Linked DNA regions of Arabidopsis thaliana. The protein of the gene in region 3 interacts with the protein of the main gene of each other region in a pairwise test. Each region holds a gene or a part of one and is shown on either strand. Other genes may lie near its edges. The genes, in order: HAI1, AT4G18340, AT1G19210 and AT4G23050.

Region 1 (7,997 bases), on a different chromosome or scaffold from region 3:
TCGACATGTGTCATTTGTGTCGTGACGGAAAGCATGATCAATTAAACTTTTGGTGGAGAAGAAATTGGAATTTTCCTGTTTTTGGTTTTATGTCCCTTTAATTACTCCTCTTTTTTCCTTTTTTCCCCGGACAGTCGTCAATTCCAAATTATAAAATGTTTTGAAATTGTTTTGCAAAATGTCGGGTTTGATTAACACGTGGTGATCTGGAAAGATGGCATCTTTAAACATTGATTGAGGAATATTTAATCTTTTGATTAAACTAATTAGCATAAATTAGTATAATATAATGGCGTATTAGATCAGATGAGCAACCTCACCAAACTCAACGGTCAAATTTCACATGCCATATTGCTTGCATCTGAAAGAAATATAAAATTCACCATACTATATATATATTGTTATATGTACGAGGTTACTGGTTAGGAGAAATACTCAACGACTTTGTTTGAATCGGTTTAGCCAAACCACAGCAATCATTTTCTCAAAACATTTAGCGTATAGAACAAAGACTCATATGTAATTATTTTAACCAGGATTTGTAGCTTAGTGTTTGTAACTGTATGGTTCGTCATGGATTCGGAAAAAGAAAAAAAAAAGTGTATTTGACAATGGCTTTGTGTTAGTACAATAGGCTTTGTGTGATTAGTATTTTTCCAATTTCCATAAGCTTATTATAATAATTTGACAATTTGATCATATAGTATCATTTTAAATCATAGGTTACGAGTGTCGAAATTCTTGTTTTAAAAAACAAAAAAAGGTTGGTACCAAATTGACAAATGTCGACTACGTAACATAGTAAAAGTTCAAAGACTACGCAATCTGCCGGCCATGCAGGCTCGAGGAAAAATCTGCCCCGGGAGAACACGTGTCGGAATCAAATTTGCCACGTAATTATTGAAACTTCTCCTTTGGTAACTGCGACCTCAACGACCATTAACCGCAACGTGGGGCTTGTGTCCGACACGCGTCTCCTTAGGCCTCAAAACTAGACTTTAGAGTTAAACCTTATTTATGTCTTGTGGACAATGGTGACACCTCATTGGTTCCTCGTAATTGCCGAACTTTCTTTCAAACAACTTACGTTTAGATTGGAACATTAAGCTTTTACAGACTAGTGGTTAGGAATAGGAAAAATATTTGTGTTTTGAGTTTAAAGTTTGTGTTTTTCAAACTAGATGTTGAGTTTGGCGCATGGTTTTGAAATAAATTTAAACAGGAGAATCCATTAAACACATAACTCAACATCGAGTTTGAAAAATGTATGAGATCGGGCATTGTTCATTATCAAGAAAAGCATTTTGTATTAATGTATATAACTAATCATGTGTGATGTGGAAATTCCAACGACAAATTGGTAAGATTTCAATTCAAAGTTACAAAACAAAGACGAGATAATTAATCAAACTAGCTAGGACAATATATTGTCTCCTTACCGAAAGCTCTCCAACCACCTACTAAAGTAACTAACCATGTTTCAGTTATAATTTTATTTTTTCGTATTCCTATCAAGTATCAAATGATATAGTTAACCAACATTTATATATATATATTGAAATCACTAAACAAACAACAAAAGTAACATAGATTTTAATGGAACTAATTTTCACCTTATATTTTTACATAAGATTTGAAAGTGATGGTTAGTGACTTGTTGGTCGATGACGAATTTGTTTTCAGGTTAAATTTTAATAATAATAATATTTGAAAGAAAGATGAAGCTTTCACGTGGCACAATGTATTTGCCTACTGTCAACTTCAAAAACCTGGCAACTGCTATGCAGCTTCAGAGGACACGTGTCATGTGTTACACACGCGCTTCGTTTTTTTTCAACCTTTTGATTTTGTTTTGTTCTGTGATGTGGGACTCACATAATTCAAATCATCATCCTATTGCTTGCCGCCACGTCCCAGAGAATTTTCCGCGAAAAGCTGAGCTTCTCTCTTTCTTTCCTTAATTTTAGTTAGGTTATGAATTATTTTTGTATTAATACTAACTAACTAAAATATCATCATCACATTACATAAACATAAGATTCATCGGCGTAACGTAAGTAACAGTTAAAGCCCAAATTACAACTCTCGATCCTACTTAATGCATAGTAAACGAATGTTGACACAGAAAAAATCTTGGTCAAGACATAAAAGTAGAGAATGTAAACACGTGTCGAACATCGAGGAAGAAAACAGGTCAGAGAGGGGTCAACGTTGTTAAATGTTAGTAATAGAGAAGTGGTCCCCAGTTTCCACCAAAACCCATCTACGTACTTGTATCTCATTGGATGTCATTCCTGATTGATTTAGAATTGAAAACGTTATATTTTGTTTATTTCTAATTGTTGATTGAATATCTTATAATTTTTGCCCACAAAAGAAAATTATAAGTGTATAATATATAGTTCACTCGAATTTAACATGTCCATTGTCCAATGTAGAACGTATGATCATTTCTGTTTTTCAGTTGCTTTTATTTTAAATTCCCAAAAACCCAATATTGTGTCAAACATTGGAGAATGATGTTCACTTTTATTGTATTCACAAAATGCTACTTATCAACTAAGAAAATTGTAATGTCAAACATAAGATGGTGATATTTTAAAAATAGATGTAAAATTAGTTTAGAACTGTCTGATAAGTCATAAGATTGCACGATTATAAATCATTGAATATTCCGGACACTTGTCAAGATTAAAACCATGAATAAGTTTTCAAATTCATTTTCATCATCTCAATTGTAAAACTAGGTAAGATATCCTTTAAAATCTTTGAATATTAGTTCCCCGGCCCATATAAAATCTCTTAAATATATTTATTTGAAAACTCTGACTGTTTGCACTTGCAGCATAAAAAAAGGGATGAAACAAATGGAACAAATGCAGAACAAAACTAATAGACCAGACAAGTAAAACAAACGAAACAAAACAAGTGTTGAAATGATAACTCACAAATTTGAACTTACTTTTCTAGCAAATAAGAAATTGTTCTAATTAAAAAAAAAAGCATATGCAGTCTCAAATTGTTTCTAAGAAGTATTCACGCACCAAGGTTATATTTGTAGTGACATATTCTACAATTATCACATTTTTCTCTTATGTTTCGTAGTCGCAGATGGTCAATTTTTTCTATAATAATTTGTCCTTGAACACACCAAACTTTAGAAACGATGATATATACCGTATTGTCACGCTCACAATGAAACAAACGCGATGAATCGTCATCACCAGCTAAAAGCCTAAAACACCATCTTAGTTTTCACTCAGATAAAAAGATTATTTGTTTCCAACCTTTCTATTGAATTGATTAGCAGTGATGACGTAATTAGTGATAGTTTATAGTAAAACAAATGGAAGTGGTAATAAATTTACACAACAAAATATGGTAAGAATCTATAAAATAAGAGGTTAAGAGATCTCATGTTATATTAAATGATTGAAAGAAAAACAAACTATTGGTTGATTTCCATATGTAATAGTAAGTTGTGATGAAAGTGATGACGTAATTAGTTGTATTTATAGTAAAACAAATTAAAATGGTAAGGTAAATTTCCACAACAAAACTTGGTAAAAATCTTAAAAAAAAAAAAAGAGGTTTAGAGATCGCATGCGTGTCATCAAAGGTTCTTTTTCACTTTAGGTCTGAGTAGTGTTAGACTTTGATTGGTGCACGTAAGTGTTTCGTATCGCGATTTAGGAGAAGTACGTTTTACACGTGGACACAATCAACGGTCAAGATTTCGTCGTCCAGATAGAGGAGCGATACGTCACGCCATTCAACAATCTCCTCTTCTTCATTCCTTCATTTTGATTTTGAGTTTTGATCTGCCCGTTCAAAAGTCTCGGTCATCTGCCCGTAAATATAAAGATGATTATATTTATTTATATCTTCTGGTGAAAGAAGCTAATATAAAGCTTCCATGGCTAATCTTGTTTAAGCTTCTCTTCTTCTTCTCTCTCCTGTGTCTCGTTCACTAGTTTTTTTTCGGGGGAGAGTGATGGAGTGTGTTTGTTGAATAGTTTTGACGATCACATGGCTGAGATTTGTTACGAGAACGAGACTATGATGATTGAAACGACGGCGACGGTGGTGAAGAAGGCAACGACGACAACGAGGAGACGAGAACGGAGCTCGTCTCAAGCAGCGAGAAGAAGGAGAATGGAGATCCGGAGGTTTAAGTTTGTTTCCGGCGAACAAGAACCTGTCTTCGTCGACGGTGACTTACAGAGGCGGAGGAGAAGAGAATCCACCGTCGCAGCCTCCACCTCCACCGTGTTTTACGAAACGGCGAAGGAAGTTGTCGTCCTATGCGAGTCTCTTAGTTCAACGGTTGTGGCATTGCCTGATCCTGAAGCTTATCCTAAATACGGCGTCGCTTCAGTCTGTGGAAGAAGACGTGAAATGGAAGACGCCGTCGCTGTGCATCCGTTTTTTTCCCGTCATCAGACGGAATATTCATCCACCGGATTTCACTATTGCGGCGTTTACGATGGCCATGGCTGTTCCCATGTACGACGTCGTTTTATTATAAAAATTATCCTTTAATTGACCGTTACGACGTCGGTTTTTAATTTTAATAATATGATGTTTAGGTAGCGATGAAATGTAGAGAAAGACTACACGAGCTAGTCCGTGAAGAGTTTGAAGCTGATGCTGACTGGGAAAAGTCAATGGCGCGTAGCTTCACGCGCATGGACATGGAGGTTGTTGCGTTGAACGCCGATGGTGCGGCAAAATGCCGGTGCGAGCTTCAGAGGCCGGACTGCGACGCGGTGGGATCCACTGCGGTTGTGTCTGTCCTTACGCCGGAGAAAATCATCGTGGCGAATTGCGGTGACTCACGTGCCGTTCTCTGTCGTAACGGCAAAGCCATTGCTTTATCCTCCGATCATAAGGTTTTGTTCGTTTTTTGATAATCTCTCTTGTTTCGTTTATCCATCGTTAAATGTTTATCCGTTAGATCTACGGTTATGGTTTACTCACTGTAATGAAACGAGAATTTCGTTACGTGTTGCGTTCGAAACTTACCTATTAATATTGTTTAATGCATTTTTTATTTATTATTTCATTTATTGGAAATTAGAATCTTCTTTAATGTGCATGCAACACCTGGACGACGATTAAGAATGTTTAATGACTTTTTACTTTTTAGATAGAGGATCTGATAAAGTTTATGAGTTTTAAGATTCTTTAATCCTTCGTGTCACTGTTATCAATGACTATATCATTCTCTCTCTCTCTCTTGTTTAAATTTGTTGTAACAGCCAGACCGTCCGGACGAGCTAGACCGGATTCAAGCAGCGGGTGGTCGTGTTATCTACTGGGATGGCCCACGTGTCCTTGGAGTACTTGCAATGTCACGAGCCATTGGTCAGTTAATTGATTACACTTGACGAAAACACTCTTGTCCCTATCCTAATGTTTGTACAAAGTTTTTCCGTACTTTCAATAATGATGATTATTAACTCTCGTTTCGCCGCGGATTTTTTTTTTTTTTTTCAGGAGATAATTACTTGAAGCCGTATGTAATCAGCAGACCGGAGGTAACCGTGACGGACCGGGCCAACGGAGACGATTTTCTTATTCTCGCAAGTGACGGTCTTTGGGACGTTGTTTCAAACGAAACTGCATGTAGCGTCGTTCGAATGTGTTTGAGAGGAAAAGTCAATGGTCAAGTATCATCATCACCGGAAAGGGAAATGACAGGTGTCGGCGCCGGGAATGTGGTGGTTGGAGGAGGAGATTTGCCAGATAAAGCGTGTGAGGAGGCGTCGCTGTTGCTGACGAGGCTTGCGTTGGCTAGACAAAGTTCGGACAACGTAAGTGTTGTGGTGGTTGATCTACGACGAGACACGTAGTTGTATTTGTCTCTCTCGTAATGTTTGTTGTTTTTTGTCCTGAGTCATCGACTTTTGGGCTTTTTCTTTTAACCTTTTTTGCTCTTCGGTGTAAGACAACGAAGGGTTTTTAATTTAGCTTGACTATGGGTTATGTCAGTCACTGTGTTGAATCGCGGTTTAGATCTACAAAGATTTTCACCAGTAGTGAAAATGGTAAAAAGCCGTGAAATGTGAAAGACTTGAGTTCAATTTAATTTTAAATTTAATAGAATCAGTTGATCATAACAAAATCTTACCTTTTTAAATTTATTTTTTGTTATATATAGGACGATGTTTATAGGAATATTAGAAATGTTAGACTGATATCTTTAAGAATAGGAAAAGAACCAAATATTTACTAAGGAATTTGTTTTCAAGTGTATTTTGTAACTAAACAAGGCAAACAATCGGTATAGAATACTTCAAAGGTTAATTGGGAGGATTCAATATTATAACATTTTTTTCTTATTATGTAAAACGTTTTTTTTTTTTTTTTGCCAACATAATCTATAAAACATGTTTATATAACTCTTCATCAAACGGGTATGGTTCACACTTTATCATGTGACATATTAGAAGATGTCGATCATTAAGACTGAACATTGTTTAAAGTACTTAGAAATCAAAATGATGATTCAAGCTTTGATAACTTCCAACCGTTTCCAACCGCCAAACTTTGGTAACTTTTTTAGAATCGAACTCCTAGCTATCGCCTAACGATTTTTTTGAACATTCTCGTTTTTTTTTCTTTTAAATGTCTTTGCAATTGCATAAACTGGTTTTTTTTTTTTTTTTTTTTTTTTGTCGGAAACTGGTTTTCTTTTATCATCCTGTTTTCAACTTTTATTCAATTTTTTTTTTCTTTTTGAAATTGAAAAACTGGGCTCGCTTTCAAGGTCAGAGAGTTATATATGTCCATGGGCCTATTTAACACTCCTATAAGCCCAAATATAGATATATTCCATTTTTGTCGCCGGCGATTTCCTCACCGTTAAATCGACGTTCGAAATTCCGAGGAGAGGAATCATACCATGGAATCGCACCACGCGTCTCTAGGTCGCCGTACTGTAAGGATATTTCCGATATGGCCGTCTTTATCTTCATCTGAAGACAGTTTCTTACATCGGTGCTTTTTTGTTGTTATTAATTTCTGTGATCTTGTAGTTGGAAGAGATTCGTCAAAAGAGAGCAGCTCAAAGGCTAAGCAAAGCTTCTTCAGGTCCAGATCTTAGTGAAATTCCCAATCCTGCCGGTAATTTTATTCATCTCCAATTTCAATGTTTTGCCATCTCCTTTTCCACTAGCTTTGCAATTTTGATTGACTACTTCATTATTTCAGATTTCCCAGTGATCAGAAAATCTGAGAGCGGAAATCGACTTTCTGAGGTAGCATTTCTCTGCTTATCAAAAATTGTACCTGGTGATCTAATTGGATTCTTTAGAATTGCGACGGTCTTGATAATGAGAATGCCTTAATCGAATCATGTCTTCTAGGATTTATGGACAAATTTGATTTTGCATATTGTCCTGAGGATAGGCTCATTCAACTTTTCTTGAGTAAATGAATGAACATAAATGGGAGTTTTGTATTGGTTTTACTGATATTATGATCTTCCTGGTAATAATGGTTTGTTTTGAATAACTTGTACAGACAGATGTTGGTGCTTTATATTCCCAGCTTAAAGAACTGCAGAAGAAGAATGCAGAAATGGAGGAGCGCAACAAAATTTTGTCTTCAAAGGTCTGTGTCTATCTCTTTGCCTTGTTGGATATTAGATCCAAGGTTGTATGTTGATTAAACTGTATTTGTCTGTGGGATTCAGCTTCAAACGAAGGAAGTTGAGAATGAATCACTTGAGACTCGGTTGAATGTGCTGGTAAGTAACAAGTAAACTTTTATTTGTGATCTTATTTAGTCCTGGTTGGCTGCAGTTTGTTTAGTTTTTTGTACTAATTGGTTTGTGAGGCTTGACATGCAATATGAATCTCTGGACAGTCCATTTGGTAAACGATTCAAGATGTCTTGACATATACTCTTATCGATGAATGACAGGAACAAAACACAGTGCCATCTCTGAGAAAAGCCCTCAAGGAAATTGCAATGGAGAAAGATGCTGCTGT
Region 2 (7,813 bases), on a different chromosome or scaffold from region 3:
TTTAAATTTTAACTACTATAAAGAAAAAAAAAGCACACGTAAAAGCTTTTAGCCATGCATGCACGATGTTTACTGGTTATCGAGAAAGCATTATCGTTGTTGGATAAGACATTAACTTTCCTCTCCTATATGATCATAAAGCTTGTTTTTCTTCTTCATAAATCTTGCCGCTTAATCCTTATCCATTATCCACCAAAAATTCAATTTTGTAGGCAGCTTTATGAAATAATGCTTTACACCATTTTGACTCGATTATAAGTATTATATATATCCACTATTCGAAATGGCCCACGATATCTGTATTTTAATATGACGTCAAATATCTTATTTTGTCTAATGAATCCAAACTAAGTACAGTATGTGAATCTTGGTAATATATGTATATAGAGTTCAGTTCAAATATAAAATACAAGTGTATGACGTCAAAAAGAATTTTTAGATACGTTATAGGCTCATTATTTAACTATATGTTCACTTTGGTGCAGCTTAGTATCTTTTATGCAGATATAATTTGAATTTTTGATCTGGTGAACTATATATTGTTAAGTAAAAAAAAAAACATGTCGGTCCAACCCAACCTAGACCTGTCAAGCATGTTTAATGATGGTTTGGCCTGATCCATTTGTTAAACAGTAGGTAAAATTTGCAATCTTTTTTTTTTTTTGTTTTTTTTTGATTTTGCAATCTTCTCCCTTATCTACACTGTTCTCTTTAAGAAACCCGCTATAACACTTCCCGAATCATTCATGCGGGAGAATTCAAAGGTACCTTAATATTACCACCTTCAAACCAATTCGCACATGGTCCAAGTTGGAAATGGTTAACCAATTTAGTTACCTATCACTATCAAATTCCCACAGTTGGGTGTGATGCATCATACATTTGCAAATGTCCAACATGGAAATCCGAATCAAGTAAACCCTATATATACTCTATTTTTCATGCGTTAAAAGGGTTAAACCCTTTCTTTGAAGAAACTTAACCTTTGTTCAAAAACATTGATATCGTTGAGTACTTGTGTTGCTTTAAAAAGCTTTCATGTCATTTTATTTGCATATTCGATATTGTAAATAAATTGCAGATTAAATGGCATATTCTTTCAATCCGAGCTAAAACAAAATCATTCTCTTTTTCTGTCTGCTGTTTCAAACTTGCTGGACAATTATATGATCTTTCTGATTTGGACATTAAAATATCCACAGATAACGTAAACTTGAAATATTCTGCAACCAAAAATATGTCCATTCAGTAAATAATTAACAAACTAGATCATATTCATGAAGAACTAAACCAGAATCATTAAATTTAAACATTAGAAATAAATTAAAACTTGTGTCATATACTCGATAATAAATCAAATTATCTTTAACTTTACACATATAGGCCTATATAAAACAATCTGTTCGGCCGTGTATGGTATATAGTTACGTCATTATCAAATTAATCTATATGGAACTGCCATAAGTCGACCGGTGGTCAATCCTAAGCCACGAAATCAAACTTTTAAACGACGAACTAAAAGTTTTCAGCCAACTATAAACAGGCCACTCTGAATAATTGACTGATTTTGACTCCTTTCCACATATTTAATTCCAACATCGAACGATTACATTTTTAATTGCAACAAGTTCAATAGCTTGAGACGGGTATATTTCTTATAAGTTGTATACATGTGTTCAAATAAAATGGCTCTTGGTGTCGTGAAAAAGAGAGAAGATTTAATATTATAGAATCGAAAAGAAGACACTAGGGTATTTTGGATTAGATCAATACAGCCAAAAGTTCCACTTTAAATTAATGTAATTTTCTGGCTAGCCAACCTTTCGAGAAAACGAATTGACTATCGTCTACGTGATCAAGTTTAACCCTTTATATTTTACCATTTAAAAATATAGTAAGTAGAAATTAATTGATTAACAAATCAATAGCCAACCAAGCGAAAGCACTTACTATTTCTTAAATAAGTTTTGTTGGGGTTTATTATGTCAGGTGATTAAAAAACAACCGATGGTTGAAATTGACCGACGGCTCCAAGTGTGTGACACTGCCCCGCCAACTTGTCTAATTCCCCTCGAAAGCATATTAGCAACATTATCCCAATTGACCATTTTATTTTACTTTTGTTATGCTAATGCTTTTAGTTATTTGTCAATTTATACATTATCATATTTGTCTTGTTTTATTTTACAAGTGCCTCAAAATTAAGCATGATCCTTTTGTCTAAAGGAAAGTAAGTATATCCCTTCTCTATCATCTTAATCCGAATAACAATATATTTGAGATTTTTTCTTGACAATTAATGGCAAATTATATTACGACTTATATATCTTTCACGAATACAATTTTGGATATCCCGTTCTTGATAACTTTCGAGGACTTGTATGAATTTCCGTCCAAAAGCCTCGGATTACAAAAAGAAAATAAATATGTGATATATGTTTATTTGTATGTATTATATTTCCCGGGAGATTTGAAAATATTAAACTTTAAAGGAGAAACGGAGGAGGCTTCCTCAGTGTACTATTGAATCCTTTGACACGTCAAGTCAAATCGGATCTCCAATTAGCTTTTGTCTAAAGAAATATAGTAAGGTTTGTTTGTCATATTAATTAGGCTAGGATACACTTGCGGTCAAGATTCATGCGAAAATGTAATCATTATTCTTCGAATTTGAATTAGCATTAAATTAATCATAATTAACACGTGATTAGTAAAATCAATGATTCAGATAAATTAGATAATAATATTAATAGTAGTAAAAGTTAATAAGAAAAATAAAGACCATTTTTGTGGGACTAATAACCCATTATAAAATTTCTTTTGTCATGAAGTTTTAGCTGAAAATTTGATATTTTACCTTTCATGATTATTCTACAAGACATGATTATCTATTAAAATTTCATTGTGTTAATATTAATTTTTATACCACGTCTTTTTCTCCATGATTATCGTAGAATAAACTTTTGGTGTATAGTACAAGTTTGTTTTAAGTCACGACTCACCTACTTAATTGAAACGAATATTTTAATATTTTCCGGTGCTTTATGAAACTTCTTCAATATTCTATACACGTCCACTTATGTGTATCCCAATCTCTTCTTAATTTAATAACATTGCTCACTTTTTTTACCAACCCAACAGTTAACACCACTTGTATAGTACATGTAATTAAACGAAACACACAAACAACGTATTTCCTTCCATACATGTGCATGCAAATTGTCTTGTCATAGAGTCTGCATTAATCTAGCTATATGATAAATAACTACATACAAATATTTTAAAACCTAATAATTTTCTTTAATAAGAAATCCTTCGTTGTGGTTTATAGAAAGCCGTCAGTGGATAAAAAAGGCATAAATGAGAAAAGCAATATAGGGAGGCAAAGCTAAACAATTTAAAAACACTTTTTTTAAAAAACATAAACTTCAACACTAAACCTTTTCACAACAAAAAACACGGAAAAAAAACAAACAAGCGAAGAAAAGTATTCTTCACCTTGGTTGGCTTATTGTGTATGTCTATAAATATTCCATTAAACACTTCTCTTAAAACCCAAAACCTTCACAATCTCTTTCCCTCCCTCTCTCTTCCTCAACATGACATCAAGAACATTCACAAGACATTCCAGTCTCATTCATGTTTTTCTCCTGCTTTCTCTCGTTTTCTCAGGTTATTTTCTTTTTCATTCTGAAATTTTAAAACCAAATTCTTAACACTTAAGTTATGCTTTACGTTGCCGCCTTAAAACCTCAACGTGTAAGATTTTAACATAGTGAAATAACGGATCGATAATAAGTCTAGAATTCATTTTTTCAATGTTTGTTTAATGGAATATTAAAGATTTTTGGCATTGTTTTCTAAAAGTTCGATTCTTTGTTTGGAAATATAGGGAATATACTACAAACAGTAACGTCTCTTGGCATCAATTACGGACAAGTTGGGAACAATTTGCCTTCACCGGATAAAGTCATTAACCTCTTGAGATCTTTAAGGATCACAAAAACAAGAATTTACGACACTAACCCTCAAATCCTTAGTGCCTTTGCAAATTCAAACATCGAGATCATCGTCACCATCGAAAATCAGGTTTTACCATTACTACAAGATCCTCAACAAGCTACCCAATGGGTAGATTCTCACATTAAACCCTATGTTCCGGCCACTAGGATTACCGGAATTATGGTCGGAAACGAGCTTTTCACCGACGACGACTCTAGTTTAATAGGGTAAGTACTAATCGTTGAATATTAGTCTAATTTGTTACATGATCACAGAATTAGTTTTTTTTCATTAACTGATTTCACATTTTCTTGACTACCACTTGGTCAAATGTAACGAACTCCTTCGAAAAAAATATTATATTTATTAAACTCCACTTTGAATTTCAATAAGAAATGAGTGTAATAGTTTTTGTCCAATAATTGCTAATTTTGACTATATTCTCTCCTCTTTTTGGTAATAGATACATGATGCCGGCGATAATCAACATCCACAAAGCCTTGGTCCAATTAGGTTTAGATAGATACATTCAAGTCTCGTCTCCAAGCTCTCTTGCCGTCCTCGGTGAATCTTATCCTCCATCTGCCGGAAGTTTCAAGCCGGAGGTTTCCTCCGTGATGCAACAACTTCTAGATTTCTTGGAAGCCACGAAATCTCCTTTTTGGATAAATGCTTACCCTTACTTTGCCTACAAAGATAACCCACAAGAAATCCCAGTCGATTACGTTCTATTCAACCGTAACATCGGCATGACCGATCCCAACACAAGACTACACTACGACAACATGATGTATGCTCAAGTTGACGCAGTTGCTTTCGCGGCTGCGAAACTAGGGTACCGTAACATAGAAGTTAGGGTTGCGGAAACAGGGTGGCCTTCAAAAGGAGATGTCGGAGAGATTGGAGCGTCTCCTGTGAATGCTGCCACGTATAACCGGAATCTTATGATGAGGCAATTCGCCGGAGAAGGAACTCCAGCGAGACGGAATGCAAGACTCGATGTTTATATATTTGCGTTGTTCAATGAAGATATGAAACCAGGTCCTACTTCGGAGAAAAACTACGGTATATTCCAACCAGATGGATCATTAGCTTACAATTTGGGATTCTCTACAATGTCGACAACGACGGCAAATTCAGAATCTGTCACTTATTCATCCTCTGCCACTAAGGTACGATTAGTATTATGTGGTGAATTTTGTTAGAATTTGGAATTATTGGGGCCACGACGAGAATAAGTTTGTGAAAGGACTAGATGTGCAAAATGAATTAATTCTCTGTTTTCTTCTTCTTTCAGGCAAAGAGGAGCTTGGAGTATTGGACAATTTTGATATTGGCGATGGTTCAAGTTGTAATGTTGAGACTATTTTAGAGGAAAAGTTATTGACAATATAATAACGCGATTGTTTAGGATATTTATGTAAACAATTTAATTATAAGCTTGATAAATATAATTTATATTCAATTCAACATTCAAATGAAGTCGGTCAATAGTGAAAATTCTAAATTTATTGTTGTCGTTAACAAGTAATTGACATATATAATAAAGAAACAAAGTTTACTTTTTAAGAAAAACTTGTCGTATATGAAAAGGTTTGAGTAAGTAGTAACTTTGACCAAAAGGCATATAATCGATAACCAGTAGCGGTTTAGAATCAACCATATATTTTTTTCCCTCTAATTCAAGAAATATGGCATAGCTTAATTCATTTGTATATGTTGTTGGATATTTTAAATACAATCCCTAGCTAGTTATATAATATAGATATTAGAATGCAAACATATGCATTGGAGTGGACGGTACGAAGAATTGGAACTGAAGCTAAGAAAAAAAAGCCATGAAACAAGAGCTTATGCTCACGATGCAAATTCACATGCTCATTTCCAATTATATCGGCTCAATATACTCCCTTGTTCTTGCCACAAACGATGCGTTTTGACCTTGAAAACATAGACACATATGCTTTTTTCTCTCCATATATTATTTTACCGATCAGTCAAGTTTAGTTTTATAGAATAAAATAATTCAGCTGCACGTAAGGAAAAATAAGTACTTTCTGAAAAATCAAAGGACACGAACAATCAAACATTAGTATGCAAATTATTTTCATACACTTGACCGTCAAAAATGCACTGATCAATGCACCGGTCATTCCGAACAAAAAAGAAAAAAAAATCTTTAAAAGATGAAAAATACAAAAGTGCGACGAGAGGAACAAAATCGTTTCACGTACGACGTATCGGCAACGATATCTAGGGTTGTGTAGAAAGATCGCAAAAGAGAGTAGTAGCGGAATTAGGGTTCTGGTTATGGCATGGAGATGAACCGGAAGGAGGTACGAATCCTTTGGGAAGCATAACCGAGAAAGTATCCTGTCGAACCGGACGGTTTAAACCGTTATTCTTCTTGGCCATCATCTTGAAGTAGCCAGCACGATGATGAAGACCACGGCGATGACGAAGAGTATGTCGATAGTAGTAGTAGTATTGGTGATTGTAACGACGACGACGGTGGTTGTCTCGTTGCAACCGCTGGTTCAAGATAAACGGTGTCGTTTTCTTGATGTAGACGAGTTGGTGCGGTGATTCGTAACCGTTGAGATAAGCTTCCGTTTTTTGTGTTGATGATACTCTTGTTTCTTGATTCGAAGATGATGATGATGGTGAGATGAGGAAGACGAGAGTGAGAATAAGAGAGACGATGAAGCTTTTTAGAAGACTCTGTTTCATCAAAACCAAATCTTCCATTGGGATTGAAAGAGAGTATAGGGTTTTGGCTGAGAGTAAGAGAGAGCGTAAAGATGAAACAAAAGCTCAGAACGAGGAGGGAATTAGAATTATATAATTCCTAATTAGTGATAAGTAATATCATTAATGAAATTATGAATTTGTTTTTTAAATTTTCGTCAATGTTGTGTTAAATATGAATATAGTTTTATATTGTAGTCGAAAGAAAGTGATTAAACATACAAAGGCACATGTTAATTATTTTTGAATGCAAACAATATAAAAAACTCATCACTACTTCATTAGAAAGGAGGAGGAGGAACATCGATGGTGGTTCCAGCCATAATCTGACCCTTACCAATTAGACGCCAATGCCTATCGACACGTCGGCTTAAAGCAACCTTCTCTCCTATGGTGGTACACACCGGAGACGTCAGTTGGAGTTTCACCATATCTTTCTTGACTCCAATAACCTTAGCTCCCGTAGACATAGACCCGATGTTCACCATCAATATCTCTTCTTTGGTTAGCTTTGACACTTTCATTTGCTTCTCTTTTTCCTTTGTCCTCACTCCAATGAGACGAGTCAGAAGCTGGTAACTTACTTCAAGCTCAACAAAGACGTCAGGGAGAGTACCCATTTCACCAAGGACTTGACCAACCAACCTATCAGCACGCGTAAGCGTAGGGTCCATGGTTGTTCCAACTCCGATTAGACCTCCCGGTACAGCAAACTGAAGCTCGTTCTGTTCCGCGTATAGTGAAGTTATACGCGAGTAAATTGGAGTGCATTTTGAGTTTCCATGCTCATCTTTGCCAGTGATACCAGGTCTAATTTCAATCAGTTGGTTCACTTTCAAAACACCCAAACAAAGAGAGACACATATTAATACTAAATTGTTTCACAGTCAGGTAAGAACAGAGGAGAAACAGAGAGATAAAAACATACCTGGAGGATACTTCCACCAGCAACACCACCTTTCATTTCATGACCCGCCGAGCCAGGTTTATTGACATCGAAAGAACGAATCACAATCATCTTTGGTGGTGACACAAAGTCTCTCACAGGGATTGGAATCTTCTT
Region 3 (6,472 bases):
TAGATTATGACCAAATTCAAACTCTTCTTCCTTGTAATAGACTTTGGTCAGGCCATCACGAGTCGTGACGCAAGTGTATTCCTCAGAGTCAGATAGATCAATCCCCGCCGCGAATTGGAATCTCTTGGAATATCGAGCCAGGTCAAATCCTTTGGAACCGGCACCGGTATGGCAAACCGGATTGATCCCGATGCTGGATTTCTCAAGCGCAGCGACGATACCTAAACCAATTCCACCGCCATTATCGTACCTCTTCGAACTTCCAGGCGACGGGAATTTCATCATATCTAAAGGACTTGTTTGACTAGCCGTGAAATAATCCGGCGAAATAGTGGAGTTTTTACCTGGAACCACCATGTGGGAGAGTTTCCAGGTCATTGGATTGCTTGATAACATATTAATCGAGAACTGAAAAAAAGAAACAGAAAGATATATGACGATGAGAAGAGCAATGGAAGAAGCAAATCTTATAGGAAAATCTGATTGTGGAGAAGAGAAAGAAGATGAAATGGAGAAGCTACAGACTTAGCCCCACCGGATATCCGCATTTCTTTACGGGTCGGATATTCGCATTTTGTTAATAAAGCTCTTTACGTTATCTATTAAACTCTTTTTCCTTTCAATATATCCAGATTCTATTTTTAAAAAATTACTGCATATTATATTAACATTTTTGCCACTTGTAAACATATAATGCAATATGTAATTTGAATTTGAGACAATTACGTAACTAGATTCTTAATTCTTCTTCTTCTTTTTTTTTTTTTGAATATAACTAACTGTAGGATTTGTCAAGTTAATAGTTAGTGGCTAAGAATATTCGTTTTGGTTTAGATAAATTATAGTAGCATAATTTCATAACAATTTTAAACTATTTGTTTCAATTTTTTTAATTCCAATTAATCCTTGAATTTCACTGGCTTAATTGATTACTGAATTGTATATTTTTTTTTCTTAAAAGATATTCATTGAAATGATTATATTGAAAACCCTTAAAACATTAATAAGGTCGTTGTCAAATATATCAGAAAATAAATATATAAAAATTAATAAGACAAATACCCTTATTGCCTTTGTTTGAATGGGCCTGAAATATTATTATTAGGCTTAATCGTACAACTTAAAGTAAAAATTGTAATTGAAATTTAATAAGACAATACCCTTATTGATTTTAATGGGCCTGAAGTATTATTGTTGGGCTTAATCGTACAGTTAAAATAAGATTTGTAATTGGGCCTAGTGAAAGCGATTGGAGTGGATGATATCATGATAATATGATCAAATGACGTCAGAAGATCCAAATATAATTGTTTTATTAAGTTTGGCCTTTTCCCATCTGAAAAATCTAACACGTGGGAAAAAAATAGTGAATGAATAACTCTTTATCCCAATGATCAAAAAAAAATTGGGTAAAGAACTACAAAAAAAAATAAAAAACCCAAGTCAAAATTTTCAGATTGTGAATAATGGAATTCAAAAATTCCAAAGAAACATGGAACCATCGGCGTAAGTCTCTTCTCCAAGCTGATAATAATCTTGTGTAGGCGAAAGCTGCTCTCTGAAACGATCACCGGAGTATTCATCGGAGAAATCATCAAACCCAGGGAATAACCCAAACTCCGAAGCGAAGTTACCCGAACCAACCGTCGGAAGCATACTCAAAAACTCCGAATCAACGTCCATCGATGTTGAAGCAGATTCTTGCCGTATCTCGTATCCTGCTCCGCCACTTGAATCATCCTCCGCCGAATTAGCGAACCTCGCAGCAGCTTCTCTTATCTCAGATCGCGACAAGTTACGTCCGCCGGAGATCACCGGAGGATTATCAGGGAAATTGAACTTTGCGTTGTTGCCACGGAGACAATAAAGAGCCGCGTCGAAAGCACGCGCCGCCTTCTCAGGAGTATCGTAAGAGCCCAACCAAATACGTTCTCTGCTGTTGGGAAGTCTGATCTCTGAAACCCATTTTCCCCATTTCCTCTTCCTCACTCCTTTGTACTTTGACTGCATCGAAGAAGACGACCCTTCCATCACGATTAAACCAAACAAAGACGCGATTGAACCAACCCGGTATGATTTCTCTGTTTTCCGGTTTAATTTTGTTCTGTTAAGTTTTTTCAGTGAGCTCTGTTCTTCAGTGTTAGTGTTGATTTGAATTGAGATAATTGTATTTGGCGCTTCAGAAATTTATTTATACGAGTGAAATAAAAGAGTGAAGAGTGAGTTTTTGACTTTTTATGGCGCGTGAAGAAGAAAGAAGGTCAGCTTCAAAGGTCAAAGGGAGCGCGTTTGTACTTAAAACGCCGCAAAGTGTCAGGGGAATGGACACGTGGCGGATGTTACTAGAAGCTTGAGTCTTAATGTGTGTGGGTCACAACTCACACGGGAAATCTCAGAGACTGTTTGGTTTTCTTGTCCTTGTCCTTGTTTTTCACGTGATTCTTTCTTTAACTCCTCTCTTTTCGTTTTCAAACGTTGAAATGTTGAATATTTCGCTGCGTCTAGAGGATACTGGTATAAAAGAATCTGAAATGATCCCTGATTCTTAGGAGGCACTGAAGAGAAGAAGAAGAAACGACCAAAGATTCATGATTAATGAAGGTAATTGTTTAGTTACATTAACATTACATCTTAGTATCTCTGTATAAGATATGCTCCTCATAGACTTGTCAAGCATTATACTTGTTATACAAATATGGAAACAAGAAAGTACAACAACATCAAGTTAGAATGAAAAATCAAATCACTGTCCTATAAAAATGTTTATATACCGTGCAGTATCTTCTTCTTCTCAGTTTGTTGTTTGCAGTACATACACACAAAAAAAAACATGTACTTTGCGATGGCCTCGAATGATAATGTAAGTTGACTTGGTATATTTGCATCTTTTTATTTCTATCTGTTGAAAGAAGCTGCAGCAGAAGTGTCTTCATAGTGTACTTTCCAAGCATTTCCGCTGTCTGTTTCGCTGCAGGCTTGGTTTGTGGTTGGGATAGCTGCAAGATCTCCGTCTAAGCTCATTTGCTGAACTTCTACTGATGATAGTATCTTTATGTTCTGCACGCAGTTCACAAACTCTCTGTGGAAAAAACAAACAGACAAGAATTATCAGAATTGTTCAATCTTGACTGTTACAGATAGATTTTTCAGGTCTGGAACGTACTCCCAAGGATCATCACCAACTAGTAAAATATCGTTTTCGTGATCGGTGTAGACGAGTTTCCAATCAGAGGTTAGCGGATCTTCGAGCTGTCCTTCGATGCCAAACATTCTCGCTAAGTCATGCCTAAGTTCATCATAGCCGCTATAACGGGTAACATCTATTGATCTACCTACTGACCCTCGTTTTTGAACCTTCAATGATTTAACAACTTTCGGCATTTAGCATTCGAAAATTAAGAAGCAAAAGATTAGAGCTATGGAAAGGGAGAGAAAGATCTCTAACCTTTGTATATGTTCGCATTCGTTGAGTCTGATTGGGCCACAGTCCTCCACCATTCATGATTCCTGAATCATTGATGCCGCCAACCTCATTTGAACATCCGGGCTTAAAGGGAATGCTGGGAATACCAAATGACTGAGAACTGATTGCAGCACTGGACAGCTCCGTCTCAATGTCTCTTGGTGTGTTGCCATAGTTGGGAACCAAGTTTTGAAAGTCCTTTTGAGAATAGAGTGGATCAGAAGTTACGGCTTCGAGATTACCAGGGAAAGCTAAGTTGTTTCTTGGATGATGAGATTGGCAGTCTCCATCAAAACCAAATGATGGTAGTGGGAAAGTTTGTTGCTGCTGTACAGGGCCAACAACATCAGGACAGTACGTCGTTCCCGCTGTGGATACATCGATTTGATCTGTTACCGCGCTTTTAAATCTGAAATGTTCACCAGCACTCTTCATATTCATCATGCCTTGACTGATCCGGCTCTCAGTTTTTGTATAAAGCTCTTGGACCGGATTGCTTGCGCGCTCAAAGACTGAATCAGATGCAGATACAGATGCAGCTTGTCCTTGCTGTTGATTTCTGCTCAGGAAATTTGTCGGTGAAACATTATCATGTCCCGTGTTATTGGCGGAAGGTGAGGTTGAACAAGAAGGAGCTTCTCCATCTGTGTGGCCAGAATGTGATCTTCCAGCGGCTACAAGATTTTTGTTACTCATCTGTCCTTGCTGCTGAGGACTCACCTGAATCTGTGGAGGCTGCATGAAAGTTGAAGCTGGGAAGCTGTTATTACCATGTGCCAAGGGCTGTTGATTTTGAGACGACAGAAGTTGTTGCAATTGATGGCTTTGTGTCTGCTGCAACGCTGATAATTGTGGCTGTAAGGATGAGCTTACTGGAGGAATCGACTGCTGCTGTTGCTGCTGCTGTAGCTTCTGCAGTAGCTGCAACTGAAGCTGTTGTGAAGGACTTGGTTTTGATGATTGTTGTTGCATTTGGAGTTGCTGAGGATTTTGGGACAGATTTTGTTGTAATGAATGGAGAGAGGACTGTTCTTGCTGGTTTCTTAATAACTGGCTACTGTTATGCATTTCCAGTTGCTGCTGAAACTGCATTTCTTGCGCAAACGATGTCATTTGAGACAAGCCTTTATTCCCCATAGAATTTATGTTCTGGTGTGTCATTTTAGCACCAGTAGGGAGCATTGACTGCTGCTGAAGCTGAGACTGAGAGAATCCAGTAGGTTGGTTTGGACTTTGACAAGAGACTTGGTTAGCAACAGCAATCGTACCATTGTTATAAATCCCTTGTTGCTGCACCTGTTGCTGTGACATCTGTAGTTGTTGTTGTTGTTGCAGTTGTTGTTGTTGGTGTTGGTGTTGTTGTTGTTGTTGTTGTTGTTGTTGTTGAGATTTCACCATGGCTGGTTGTGCTTGCATCTGTTGGCTGATATGGTTAACCGTGTTCGGTTTGTTGAATTGGGAATTTGCGGAAGAGAGGTTTGGGGATTGGAAGTTCAACAGCTTGGAAGGGTCGTTGGAAGCAAAATTGTTTGGTAGGTTAAAAGATGAGAGCGCGGACGGGAGCTGAGGAGTAGCAGAACCTGACAATGGATTGTTTTGCTGCATACTCATCCATTGAACTAGACTTAAACCAGGGAACATCGAACTCTGTGCGTCCTTCATCCCAAAGTCTTCTCCCATCCAAGGCATTGCTCTTTTGAAAGCATTTTCCATGTCTAACTCATCATCTGCAACAAACCACCAAGGTTAGTATCCGGAAACTCAGTCAAAGATCTATGGGAAAAAAATGAACGAAAGCAGTAAACTCACCTGGCATCCCGGGTTGCCTCGGGTACTTAGGTCTGAAAAATGGAGGAGGACATATGTAAAAAGGAGTTATGACGGGTTCGATTTCCCATATGGATACTCGGCTTGGCCTATCTCCAGCTGTTGATTCATCCCATCCTACCTGTTTAAACCATGAACAAAAGATTCAGAAGAAATGACCATCATAAACAGTTTAGCATAACTCGGATATGTCATTACCTGAAGATTACGCCATTGTGAGCCTTTCCATCTTACAGGGTCAAGATCACTAATACCTGTGACTGTACCCATATATCTACGAACCCCACAATCCTCAGTCTCAAACATCATCCGGAATCTCATTCCTAGAGATACTTGAGCGTATAAGGCTTTGTTGTATTTGGCTAAAGGAACTACAAACTCTGAAGGACTTGCCCTTGGATTGAAGAAGATGGTAAAAGGGCTACTATTGGCATTAGCATGAGCTGCAGCTGCAAGTATCCCAATGTGCATACTGTCGCTGGATATGACCGATGAGGAAAGAGTCGGAGTTTGTCTATTTGCACGTCTTATACCCAACATCAGCTGTGATTTCTCATCTCTGCAAACCCAAGTACCCTTATGAGAAGATGAAAGTCCAATTCTGCTTAATGTTTTGATCAAAGTATGACTCATACCTTACAAACAAAACTGAATCACCCGCAAATAGTCTCTTTGTGCTAACAAAAACGCTCCAACCTGTGGTAAGCAAGTGTCTTTTTGGTTGGCCTGAGATCAGATTACATCAAAGAAAACAAATCAGGTTGAAGTTTTCAATCTTTTAGACTAATAAAACAAACTTTAGATGATTCAAACCTCGATAGATATGTCTGAAAGTCCATGTAGTATCATGTAAATCTTTAGCTACAATCTCTTGCGCAGGCGGTTGCATCGAGAAATCCTATTTTAAGCACCCTTAGAACTTTTAGCAAAACAGATTCAAAAGTTTGAAGCAAAAGAAACTGAGAGTAGCTTTGATCAGAGAGACATACAAGAGGAGGGAATATTTTCTCAGCTGCACGACGCGGTACAGAGAATCCACCATGAGTGCTTGTGTCACTTGCAGTAAGAGTCTTGCAAAAAAACTCAGTAGGTTGTCTGTTTAGCTTCAAGCCCATATCAGAAGCTAGCAATGCTTCTCTATCATACTGTCACACATTTTGAGCAAAGATCAGCATTAAAGTC
Region 4 (9,782 bases), on a different chromosome or scaffold from region 3:
CCATCGCCGTAATCCAATGTCTATCGTTAATAATCCATCCATGATCACGTTTTTTTGTTGGTCCCTACTCCGTTTTTCGTCTCTTAACGTAATAGCTAGCGCCGTCCGTTGCTACGTCGTTTTGTGTAATGGGAAATCGAAGTCGGAATCCAATTCTTTCACTATTTTGACATTTGTGGGTTCTTGTTTTTGTTCTTCTCTTGTCTTTCAAACATAAATGTATTATGTATGTTATAGGACAAAGAGAAAAAATTGTTTGTTGTTACTATCAGATTTATATGGAGGTTAATATTTTGGACTGTATAGTGAGATATTATTGCATAACAAATAGAATATTTTCTGACTATTTATTTCGTCGAATACGATTGGTTATATAGTTGTACGAATGAAAACTACGTAGTTTATCTACTTATATACTAATTCACAAAACAACATGACCACAAAAATATCAAAACAATACACGAGAAATTTGTCCAAAATACAAGAATATTTTCCGAGGAGAGAGATGCGACTCAACTTATCGAAGATATACTTTATAGCATAAGTCAGAATCAGAAATCTTGAGAAGTATATAAGCTAATTAACCAAAAAGAACTTAGTTACGAACTTAGGATTAATAAGTCGAGTGATAAATTTGCATATGTTTCAAATGTATAACCAGAATTAAGAAATGAACAAACACTACTAACAAAGGTTTTATGTAATCATAAACGAATCCTATGGTTCACGTGTACTACTTTAGAGAATCTAACTCGAAGTCAGTAGTAAAAAGGAAAAAAGAAATGGACCGACAATTAATCCACTGGAATCTTCGGTATGTCTCATGCAATGAGAAAAAGACAGGACAAAGACTCGGAGAGACGAAGAGACATCAGTCTAAACGGCCGTTACGATCTAGCCACGTGTCATACAAGTACAAAAACTTGAGCCTGCATGAATCTTAGTTAGTCGTATATAGTAGACTGCGAGTGGACGGTGGTTCTTTAGCTTTTTACAGGTTTGTTGACTCTGGTCAACTGCTTCTCGTGTATGAACTCGTTCGTACGTGTCTCCTTGCATTCTATCTCTAATTTTTTAATTCAGTCAAAATTACCAGCGGAATTGTTGTTTCCCCCACAACTAACATTCGTTGGCAAAGTATTTATGGTACAGTAATAATGCAAGTTGATCAATCATAGAGTTGAAGCATGAAATCTGGATAGGAGCATAACTAATCAAAGAAGATTATAATTTATTAACAAGATTAGGTGCACCTAATAAAAAATCTTATGGTTAATTAGAAGCATCCAAATTTTGGTTTCACTTTTTGAAATGAGATTGCAAAAAAAAATATGAAACTCATTTGTACGATTAATATCGTTAGTTGTTGGCTCAAACTTTCACGCCATGGAAATAAAAAATTGTTTAGATTACTATAGATCCACCAACACAAGCGATTATGGTGTACGTAGATAGGACAATGCAATAGATTATGGTTATTAAACCCTTTCATACAATTCGTAGATATGAGGACAAGATAAAATCTTGAGATAATAGAAATTAAGAATATATGAGTAGGAACTAGGAATGAACTGAAAAACTCTATCTTGGAATAATTTGATATAATATATATATATATATATATATATATTCTATTTGTTATTAAAAATATTGTTCGATTTATTATTTCTTGTTTTCGTTTGGTTTTGGGATTAGATTTTTTAGTCGTAAGGAAAATTTAGAAACCAACTAACTAAACTAAACCAGAATAAATATGCCTAAAAATAAAATAAAAAAACCTACTGACCTATAAAAAAGCATTTCAAGCATAACAAATTAGTAGTTCAACACTGACATTATTTCGTATCATGAGCCTCAATCATACCTAATCAATATCTTACAAGAAAAAAGTGAAAGTATCCATCTTCGAAACTTTAATCTGCTCTACTTCTGACAAAATAAATTTTATAATGTTCGGAAGAAAATATCATAGAAATTACTTTTCCATCCTACAATGACTTTATATTATTTTAAATTAAATATGCTGTCACTGTATTACGGTGACGGAGTATCCCTTTACAAGATTCCGCTTGGGTAATCGACACGGTCAATCAATCAATCACACATAAATAACACAAGAGCAAACACATGGTAAAGAAATTGGCATCAAAAAAGAAAATAATATGGTAAAGATGTTTCAATTGAAATATAGTTACATATAAATTGAAATACTACGAAATACATGCAAGGCAAAACAGCGAAAACTGTTAAAAAGTTTATTTGTCTAGAGGTCACAACCATGTGTTGTAAACGAAATATTACTATGCAGCTCGATGTGATTTGTTCTGACCTAACCAGACAAACAGACAAATATTTTCAATCCCCCAAAATTTCTCCTTTTTCAATACTTCTATAAGAGAAGTTCCCTTCACCCACGTCACATGCATGCACAATACATACTCGGTATAATAGACCCATCTTTGTATCCTTTTTTTTTTAATTATGCTTTTGTGACTGCGTCAATTTCAAGATGCTGTAATGTGGAATTACGAATAAGGATTGAAAAAAAAGTTTTATTTAGGGTTCTGACTCTCTCTTATAATTAGGTGCTGAGAAGCTACAGACGACGCAGTGATGGGAAGCTGTAATAAGAGAATATTAAAGCAAAAGAAGCAATGCCTACGAATTGTCACTCCTCCTTCTCTTACCCCATCAAACCAAAACCAACTACATTACAATTCACTACAAGACACCATCAATCTCACAGTTTTTCTCGTATTTCTCTTTTTCACCCTTTTACTTCTTAAATTACATCTGAGTCCTCCTCTGGCCTCTGCGCCTCTGCCTTTTTAGATCCCATTTTACAACTTAGCTCATAAACCGACAACAGTTTATATAATGCATAGTTTAACTAAACTAACCTAAGATTCTACTGTATATTACTTTGATTTAGCTATTTTTGCTTTCTTTCTTTCAATGAAAACATAAATAGTAGTTTGGTATAACACAATGAAACATTTGTATAGTAAGTGATCAGGACGATGCTTTCGTTTTCTTTTCACGTCCTTTGCTTTGTGAACTATCCTTTAACCATGTACTGTTTACCTTCTCAATCGTCTTCTTCTTGCGCACCTGACCCTGGTTTGCGGAACAGGCTCATCATCTGACTAATTAATTCCTCGAACGACGGTCGTTTTGCTGGATCACTGTTTCAACAATTTAGAACAAAGAATATAAGAAAAATCGCCCCTAAGTTTGTAGGGTGTATTTGATGAAACAATTTACAGATGCGTCTTCTTACGTTTGCCAACAATCCTGTATTATGGATGCGATCCGGGGATTTAATCCTTCAGGTAAGTCTAATCGTCGATCCATGAAACCAACAACTCCAACAACCTAATTTAAAGTTGCTAAGATTACTACAATCTTATGATCAAGCTATAATCTCATAAGAACAGAATTTGAGAGGTACCTGAATAGAGTTCAAACGGTCCCATGGTACTAACGTAGTCATTAGCTCCCATAAGATGACTCCAAAGCTGAACACATCACACCTATTACAACGAAAGCATTGAGCTTTTAGTCCAAAAAAATGTTCAAGTTATTGAATAATGTCTTCGAAAAGAGAACAAAAAAGGGTTAATATTATATCCAACGTACTTCTCATTCGAAGGTTCACTTCTGAGAACTTCAGGAGCCATCCACTGCGGCTGCACATAGAAAAAAGTTGAACAATGTTTAGTAACAGAAATCCAAGACTGTTTTGTGGATTAAAAGAATCAGAAATGGCTTTTGTTAAACATTACAGTTCCTTTCCCGGATTTAGTACTCAAGAAGGTTGCGTTCTTCCACTTTGATAACCCAAAGTCTCCAACCTAGGGAAGAAAGAGTTGAAAGTCCATGCAATAGTAAACTCATTTTACAAGTCTTCATAAATGTAACTTGAGAAAACTGTTTGTACCTTGACATTCCAGTTCTTGTCCACGAGTAGATTGGAAGATTTCAAGTCTCTATGTACAATTGGCGGATTTCTGCGGTGTAAGTAATTCATTCCCCTAGCCTGCAACAACAACAGAGAACCCGAATATAATCAGCCTTTCATATTTTTTTCTTTCATTGTGAGGGAGGTTTTTGGAAGATCAGAGTCTTACAACATCAAGGGCCATTCTTAAACGGCGTTTCTTGTCCAATGGCTGATTCGTATTATGAAGTATTTTGAAGAGACTCCCTCTAATCATCAAAACCGTATAGAAATAACTTAGCACAGAGTATTCATCTGCAATTTCTTGCAGCATAATATAACACACTCGATAAGGAGTAACACTACTTCCAGATCCATACGTCAATAATCTCACCTTGGCATATATTCCATGATTATGGCAGATTTTTCTTCTGTACATACTGCTCCCATAAATAGTAGCACATTCGGATGTCTCAGTTTCTTCATAATGTTGATCTGAAGATATTATTGATCAAAACTGATTTATTTTGTCTGGTACGAGTAACTTCTAGAAACAATTCATAACAGAGAGAACTAATTATACATACCTCCTTTTTGCACTCCGTCAAAGTCATCGCATTGTAATCACCATCGAAGTAAACCTTAATAGCAACATCCTGGTCCAAATAGATTGGACTAGTTAGTTATCCATGTGCAACTAATACTAGAATCATCCTTATTTTATCTTAAATTACAGAAAACTCACCGATCCATTCCAAACTCCACGATGAACCGCAGCAAATGAACCTGTGAGAAAATGTAACGCATCAGAAATACTTGTAATCTGATTTAAACAGCAATGACACAGATCTGAATTGAATTTGCATATCTAAAACGTGAAAACGAGTGTAAGACTTTGGTAAATGAAATACACCTCTTCCGACCTCCTCCCCAAGTTGTAGATCTTCCCATCGTATCTCACATGACGAATCAGTAACTAATCTATTATTCCTTTGGTTGACAGGACTTTGTTGCCTACCGCTGTTGACTCCTAGAATTGGCAAGGGATCAACACTAAGACGAGTATTCCAAGCATCTTCTATCTCACCATTTAGGTCCGACATTTTTGTTCCCCGCATGCCAGACACCAAACCACTCTCTAGTCCTCTGGGAGGTTTACTTTGTCCCAGGTTCCCAATATACTGAAAGCGATCTCCATTATGTATCAAACCCTCAGCTCCATTTCCATAGACATCTGAAATTCTAACTTCAGCCCTTTTTGGTTTTCCATTGCCATTGTCTCTGAAAGCCGTGCAGGTAACTGCATTAGAAGCCTTAGAACTACCTCCACTGCCACATGCTGACTTATTGATACCGTTTCTTAAGATAGGCTCATTATCTTCGGTTCCTTGGCTGCCAGTAATCTTCCTTTGCAGCTTCCCCAAAAACTTATCCGCCTACACTAGTGTATATGCAGATTTAGCTTATAACATGAGACAATAATCGTTCTAAGAAATGTCAATGAGAAGTGTCTTGTTTAAGGAGCCAACGAAGACTTACCAGTGAGCCATACTTCTCGAAAGTTGTGGAGGCAACAACCGGAACATTTTCATCTCGGCTCCTCGAATTATGATTTCCATTGAAGGAATCATCTCCATTTCTCTGTGGTAGAAGCTTCGACGCCTTCTTGGTTTGTGCAGAAAACAGCAAAACAAACAATCATTCATGTTGCACACGAATTATTATATAAAAAAAAGTACTGAGAAACTTCGAACATTCATGATGTGAGATCTACCAGGTTTGAAGCAACAGCTGATGAATATTGTGGGACAACTGGAACCTGTGATGCTGCAGCGATCTGAGGCCTCGGGAGGTGCCACTGATGTTTTCTCAAGTTTGATTCATGTCTATTATTACTACGAGCTTGTTGTTGATGCTCATTACTTAGTGGATGCATCCTATTGAAAAGGGTTGCATCGCTCGAGACAGTAACAACACCAACCAGCTCACCGTTTTCATACACAGGGCTTTTAGTCACCAAAGCCATAAATAGTTCACCAGTTTTCTTCTGAAACGGAAACTGACCAGTCCAAGTCTCTCCACGGCACACCCTATTCCTGATACCAGTAAGGGAATTACGGTATTCTTCGGTTACAAGCACATCAATAGTTCTGTAGCCAACAACTTCCTCAGCATACCAATGGTACAGATTCTCAGCAGAACGACTCCTGAATAATAATAAAAGAATCTCTCCACTCAGAAACAAATAGTAAATGTCCACTTGCATATACAATGAATCGCTATATATAACTTTGTTTAACTACTTAAACACACAATTCAATGAAACAGTACTTAGAAGAACTATAAGCTCCTGATCTACAAACACCATAGATGAAGAAGAAGAACTTATCAAGCTCACCAGAATGTAATTTCTCCAGACGCAGCTGATGTTACATGAATCGCGTGTCCCATTGAATCCATCAAAGTCCGATACGCACTATCAGCGAAATAGAATCCTGAAACAGCTCTCTCCCAAGTCGCCGTCGGATTATCCCAGGAATCCGCCGCCTCCGCTTCCACCTCTACCTCAGCCTCTTTCTCCGTGTCCGTCTCCAATCCCGTCGCCGATTCCTTACCGGTTCGACTCTCCTCCTGAAGCAATAAGTCATCAACATCCTCCCTTAGTCTCGCTTGACTCGTCTCCATCCTCTGACACCACTCCACCAAAACCTGGTAGAGACTCGATTCCGAGTTGTTTCCGGCCATCGTAATCGCCGGTGACTCTGTTTGAGCAGTCGCATCAAGATCCGACTCTGATGAAAATTCACAAATTAAAAATATAATTTAAAACGTTGGCATTCCCTCATTGTTTATTATTTTTCAGCTGCTTCTTAAATCACTCGTGACGCCATAATTAACAAACCCCAGCTATTATAAACACTACGACGCATTAGCTTACGCCACGTGTGTTTGTTACTAATAGGATGCTGCCACTTGTAGAATTGCCGATGTAATTGAAGGTTGAAGAAGATTGAGAGATAATAGACGAATTTGTCACGATTTAAAAGTGGTGATTGACGAAATTAACCTCAATATAATACCCATTCTTGTTGCCGCCATTGCCAAATGGGCCTGAGTTTGATGGTGTTTTTATACCTCCAACGGTATTTGTCAAGAAGAAAATAAAATACACGTCTCTTCAATGTTCACATTCACATTCCTCTAAAAGTAATGTGCCCAATAAACTCAAAGTTCAAGTTGATTGAAGAACAATAACAATAAATTATAGTTGAATTTAAATGTAATCAATTATTAGTAGTATACTTCAAATCATTGTAGAATAATACTCTCCATAAGGTTTCTTAGAGGAAGCAAAGTTTAATTGGAGTCACAAAGCTAGTTTTGTTTCAATTTATCTAAAGATTTACTTTGTTTCTGGGACACAAACTGAAAGCCAACCCTTTTTTTTGGACAAAAACGACAATTCTTATATTACAAACGGCCGAAAGAGAACATGACAGCTCCTTTAAAGGCACTATATAGAGGGAAGATTGGGATGATCATAAAGTGAGGATATCTTTGGATATTTTAGTTTTGGGTTTGGTTTTGGTTTTTCGTTGTTGGACCGAAAAGCCTTTACATTTTAAGGCTTATTTCCATATTTACTGTCAAATTGACAAATAAAATATGTAATTGGTGTGAAAAAAAATAAATTATGTAACTTTTTTTTTGTACATTAAAAATTATCTAACTTTTAATGTATATACACTATAACAATTAATATCATGTTAAAAAAAAAGGTCAAAAAGTTCTTGGCTAGTAAAAACTAAAAAGATAAGTTTAATCCACTCTGAATTTGACTCGAATTCCAGTTTATAAAATATAAAGACTCTGAAAAAAAAAATCCAATTTCAACTGAATAATTATTTATTTAGTTATTCAGATTAGGACACTCCATATATTATCTCAAGTTCTCTGAAAATAATATCTTGAATATCACCGAAAATATACAAAAAGAATAAAGAAAATAAAGTTTAAGAAAATCCACACCAAATAAAAAAGGAGAATTAAAAAAAATGGAAAAGAAGAAAGACCCTAAAAAAGGCTTTAAAAATCTTAAGAGTCACCGATCCAATTCCTTTCTTCACTGCAATTTTTGTGATTTACAACATATATTAATTCTTGCCTCCTCCTTCACTCCAGCTCCAAACACAAATCTCCGACGAAAAACTTCTCTCAAGCTTTCTCTTTTCTAATGGCGACACCTACTCAGGAAGCTATTGACACCTTCATGACCATCACCGGCTCTTCCAATGCCGTCGCCGTTCGTAAGCTCGAGGTGATTCAATTACACTTCCCTGGGTTTTTTCCGTCTTCCTTCTATTGTTTAGATGTTATTTTGTTTTTGATTGAAGTATTTTTGGAAGTTTCTCGAATCGCTCAAGTGGTTGTTCGTTGGATCATCGAATTATATCTCCTCTACGCTTTTGTTATATCGTTGTTAAGCTCATCTTGATGCGTTTAGGTCGCAATTGGAGTTAATTGTGTTGAATTTTAGTTTATCCGATTATCTGATTGAGTTTTTATGTGGACTTCTTACAGAATTCTCATGCTTATTGGTTTTGTTAATTGTTCATTGATATCTAAACGAGTTTATACCTGCTCATTGTGAAATTAGTTGTGAAAAGTTTTGTTCTTTTTTGGATTTTGGTCTGGATTTTTGGTATTTTAGAGATATTCATGTGGGGTTTAAGTTAGTTATTGAAGTCAATGAATTTTTTTTCAGAACTCATCTTGTGTACAATTTTAGTTTGGGTTTAGAGAACTTTTTATTGTGTCCTTTGTGCATTCTTATCTTTTAGTCATTATTCTATTGTCTCAGCATCATTATAACTTGTAAGTTTTTTTTTTGTGTGTGGCTGGTGTTCCTCGTGTTTGCCAAAACTTACATGCTATCATTATTGCAGGAGTATCGTGGGAACCTCAATAGAGCTGTGAATGCATACTTTACTCATGGAGATCAAAATTCATATGATGCAATGGATATAGATGATGGTGTGACTCCAGTCCTCTCTGAAGCTAGAACAACGGACCCGTTCCCGCTTCGTGATCCAAACTTTGGGAGAAGTCTATTTGATAATGATCCTGTTATGTCGCGTCCCCCATTTGTTAGTCATCCAAGGGAGGCCAGGGAGATACCTATAGAGGTTAAAGACAGCAATGGGCCATCAGGTCAATCTAATGATGCTCCTACTATTGAGGATGTGACCGAGACAGCTCAAGCTCACGGTCCAGCTGCCCAAGAGGCGGTCATTATAGATGAAGTAAGTGATGATGATAATCAGTCTGCTCCAACCGGACAAAGTAGGCATGCTGTACCTGTTGGTTCTGCAGAAAATAATATGCAACATTACAATGATATAGAAGAACAAATTATTCGAGCTGCTATTGAGGCCTCCAAAATGGAGACTGGTGATGACGTAACAAAATCTGTCACAGTGCAGTCAGCTGAGCGAGAAGTGTTGCGCAGTGAAGGTTGGAAGGCTTCATCCTCAGAAAGAGAAGCTTCTGAAATGGTTTCTATTCCAGTACAGCAGGGTTCCCGAGCCTCAAATGGAAGGTTAGTTTGTTCTGTTTTGTAGTCTATCAGTTTGTCTTCTGTGTTTCCTAGACAATGTCCCAAGAAATTGTTTTTATATGTGTAGATTCGCAGCACCTAGCTCACTGTCTGAGGATGATGATGATGATGATGACGATGACCCTGATTATGTTGAGGAGGAAGAGGAACCCCTTGTTAGCCACAGACCAAGACGTGCGGTTTCTGGATCTCGGAGCTCACTTAATGATGATCTTCCCCGGAGCC

What was found.
Region 1: the proteins of AT1G19210 (region 3) and HAI1 interact in a two-hybrid assay, tested with the Arabidopsis thaliana proteins (one large-scale study listed by BioGRID).
Region 2: the proteins of AT1G19210 (region 3) and AT4G18340 interact in a two-hybrid assay, tested with the Arabidopsis thaliana proteins (one large-scale study listed by BioGRID).
Region 4: the proteins of AT1G19210 (region 3) and AT4G23050 interact in a two-hybrid assay, tested with the Arabidopsis thaliana proteins (one large-scale study listed by BioGRID).

What each region holds. Positions count from the first base shown.
Region 1 is NC_003076.8:23,892,530-23,900,526, reverse strand, and holds HAI1 (PP2C protein (Clade A protein phosphatases type 2C)), read left to right. Parts: upstream 1-3,587; 5' UTR 3,588-4,029; coding exon 4,030-4,506; intron 4,507-4,589; coding exon 4,590-4,892; intron 4,893-5,261; coding exon 5,262-5,367; coding exon of another isoform or gene 5,368-5,390; exon of another isoform or gene 5,391-5,499; coding exon 5,500-5,855; 3' UTR 5,856-6,123; downstream 6,124-7,997. Other genes in the region: AT5G59210 (myosin heavy chain-like protein), read left to right, coding at 6,908-6,943, 7,041-7,128, 7,216-7,262, 7,528-7,617, 7,700-7,753, 7,930-7,997. UniProt on the Arabidopsis thaliana protein: Acts as a negative regulator of abscisic acid (ABA) signaling for stomatal closure in leaves, and controls water loss during leaf senescence. Activated by the NAC029/NAP transcription factor during ABA signaling in senescing leaves.
Region 2 is NC_003075.7:10,127,806-10,135,618, reverse strand, and holds AT4G18340 (Glycosyl hydrolase superfamily protein), read left to right. Parts: upstream 1-3,426; 5' UTR 3,427-3,599; coding exon 3,600-3,672; intron 3,673-3,892; coding exon 3,893-4,229; intron 4,230-4,465; coding exon 4,466-5,174; coding exon of another isoform or gene 5,175-5,207; exon of another isoform or gene 5,208-5,299; coding exon 5,300-5,374; 3' UTR 5,375-5,569; downstream 5,570-7,813. Other genes in the region: AT4G18335 (uncharacterized protein), read right to left, coding at 6,256-6,750; AT4G18330 (Translation elongation factor EF1A/initiation factor IF2gamma family protein), read right to left, coding at 7,032-7,595, 7,679-7,813.
Region 3 is NC_003070.9:6,625,500-6,631,971, forward strand, and holds AT1G19210 (Integrase-type DNA-binding superfamily protein), read right to left. Parts: upstream 2,190-6,472; 5' UTR 2,032-2,189; coding exon 1,474-2,031; 3' UTR 1,295-1,473; downstream 1-1,294. Other genes in the region: AT1G19200 (cyclin-dependent kinase, putative (DUF581)), read right to left, coding at 1-396; ARF19 (auxin response factor 19), read right to left, coding at 2,896-3,079, 3,164-3,354, 3,446-5,190, 5,273-5,411, 5,489-5,849, 5,926-6,016, 6,104-6,188, 6,280-6,435.
Region 4 is NC_003075.7:12,077,015-12,086,796, reverse strand, and holds AT4G23050 (PAS domain-containing protein tyrosine kinase family protein), read right to left. Parts: upstream 6,738-9,782; 5' UTR 6,686-6,737; coding exon 6,339-6,685; intron 6,148-6,338; coding exon 5,715-6,147; intron 5,606-5,714; coding exon 5,480-5,605; intron 5,377-5,479; coding exon 4,854-5,376; intron 4,727-4,853; coding exon 4,686-4,726; intron 4,597-4,685; coding exon 4,528-4,596; intron 4,436-4,527; coding exon 4,335-4,435; intron 4,210-4,334; coding exon 4,131-4,209; intron 4,040-4,130; coding exon 3,941-4,039; intron 3,855-3,940; coding exon 3,786-3,854; intron 3,690-3,785; coding exon 3,640-3,689; intron 3,534-3,639; coding exon 3,452-3,533; intron 3,376-3,451; coding exon 3,281-3,375; intron 3,186-3,280; coding exon 3,089-3,185; 3' UTR 2,541-3,088; downstream 1-2,540. Other genes in the region: AT4G23040 (Ubiquitin-like superfamily protein), read left to right, coding at 8,175-8,258, 8,887-9,539, 9,625-9,782.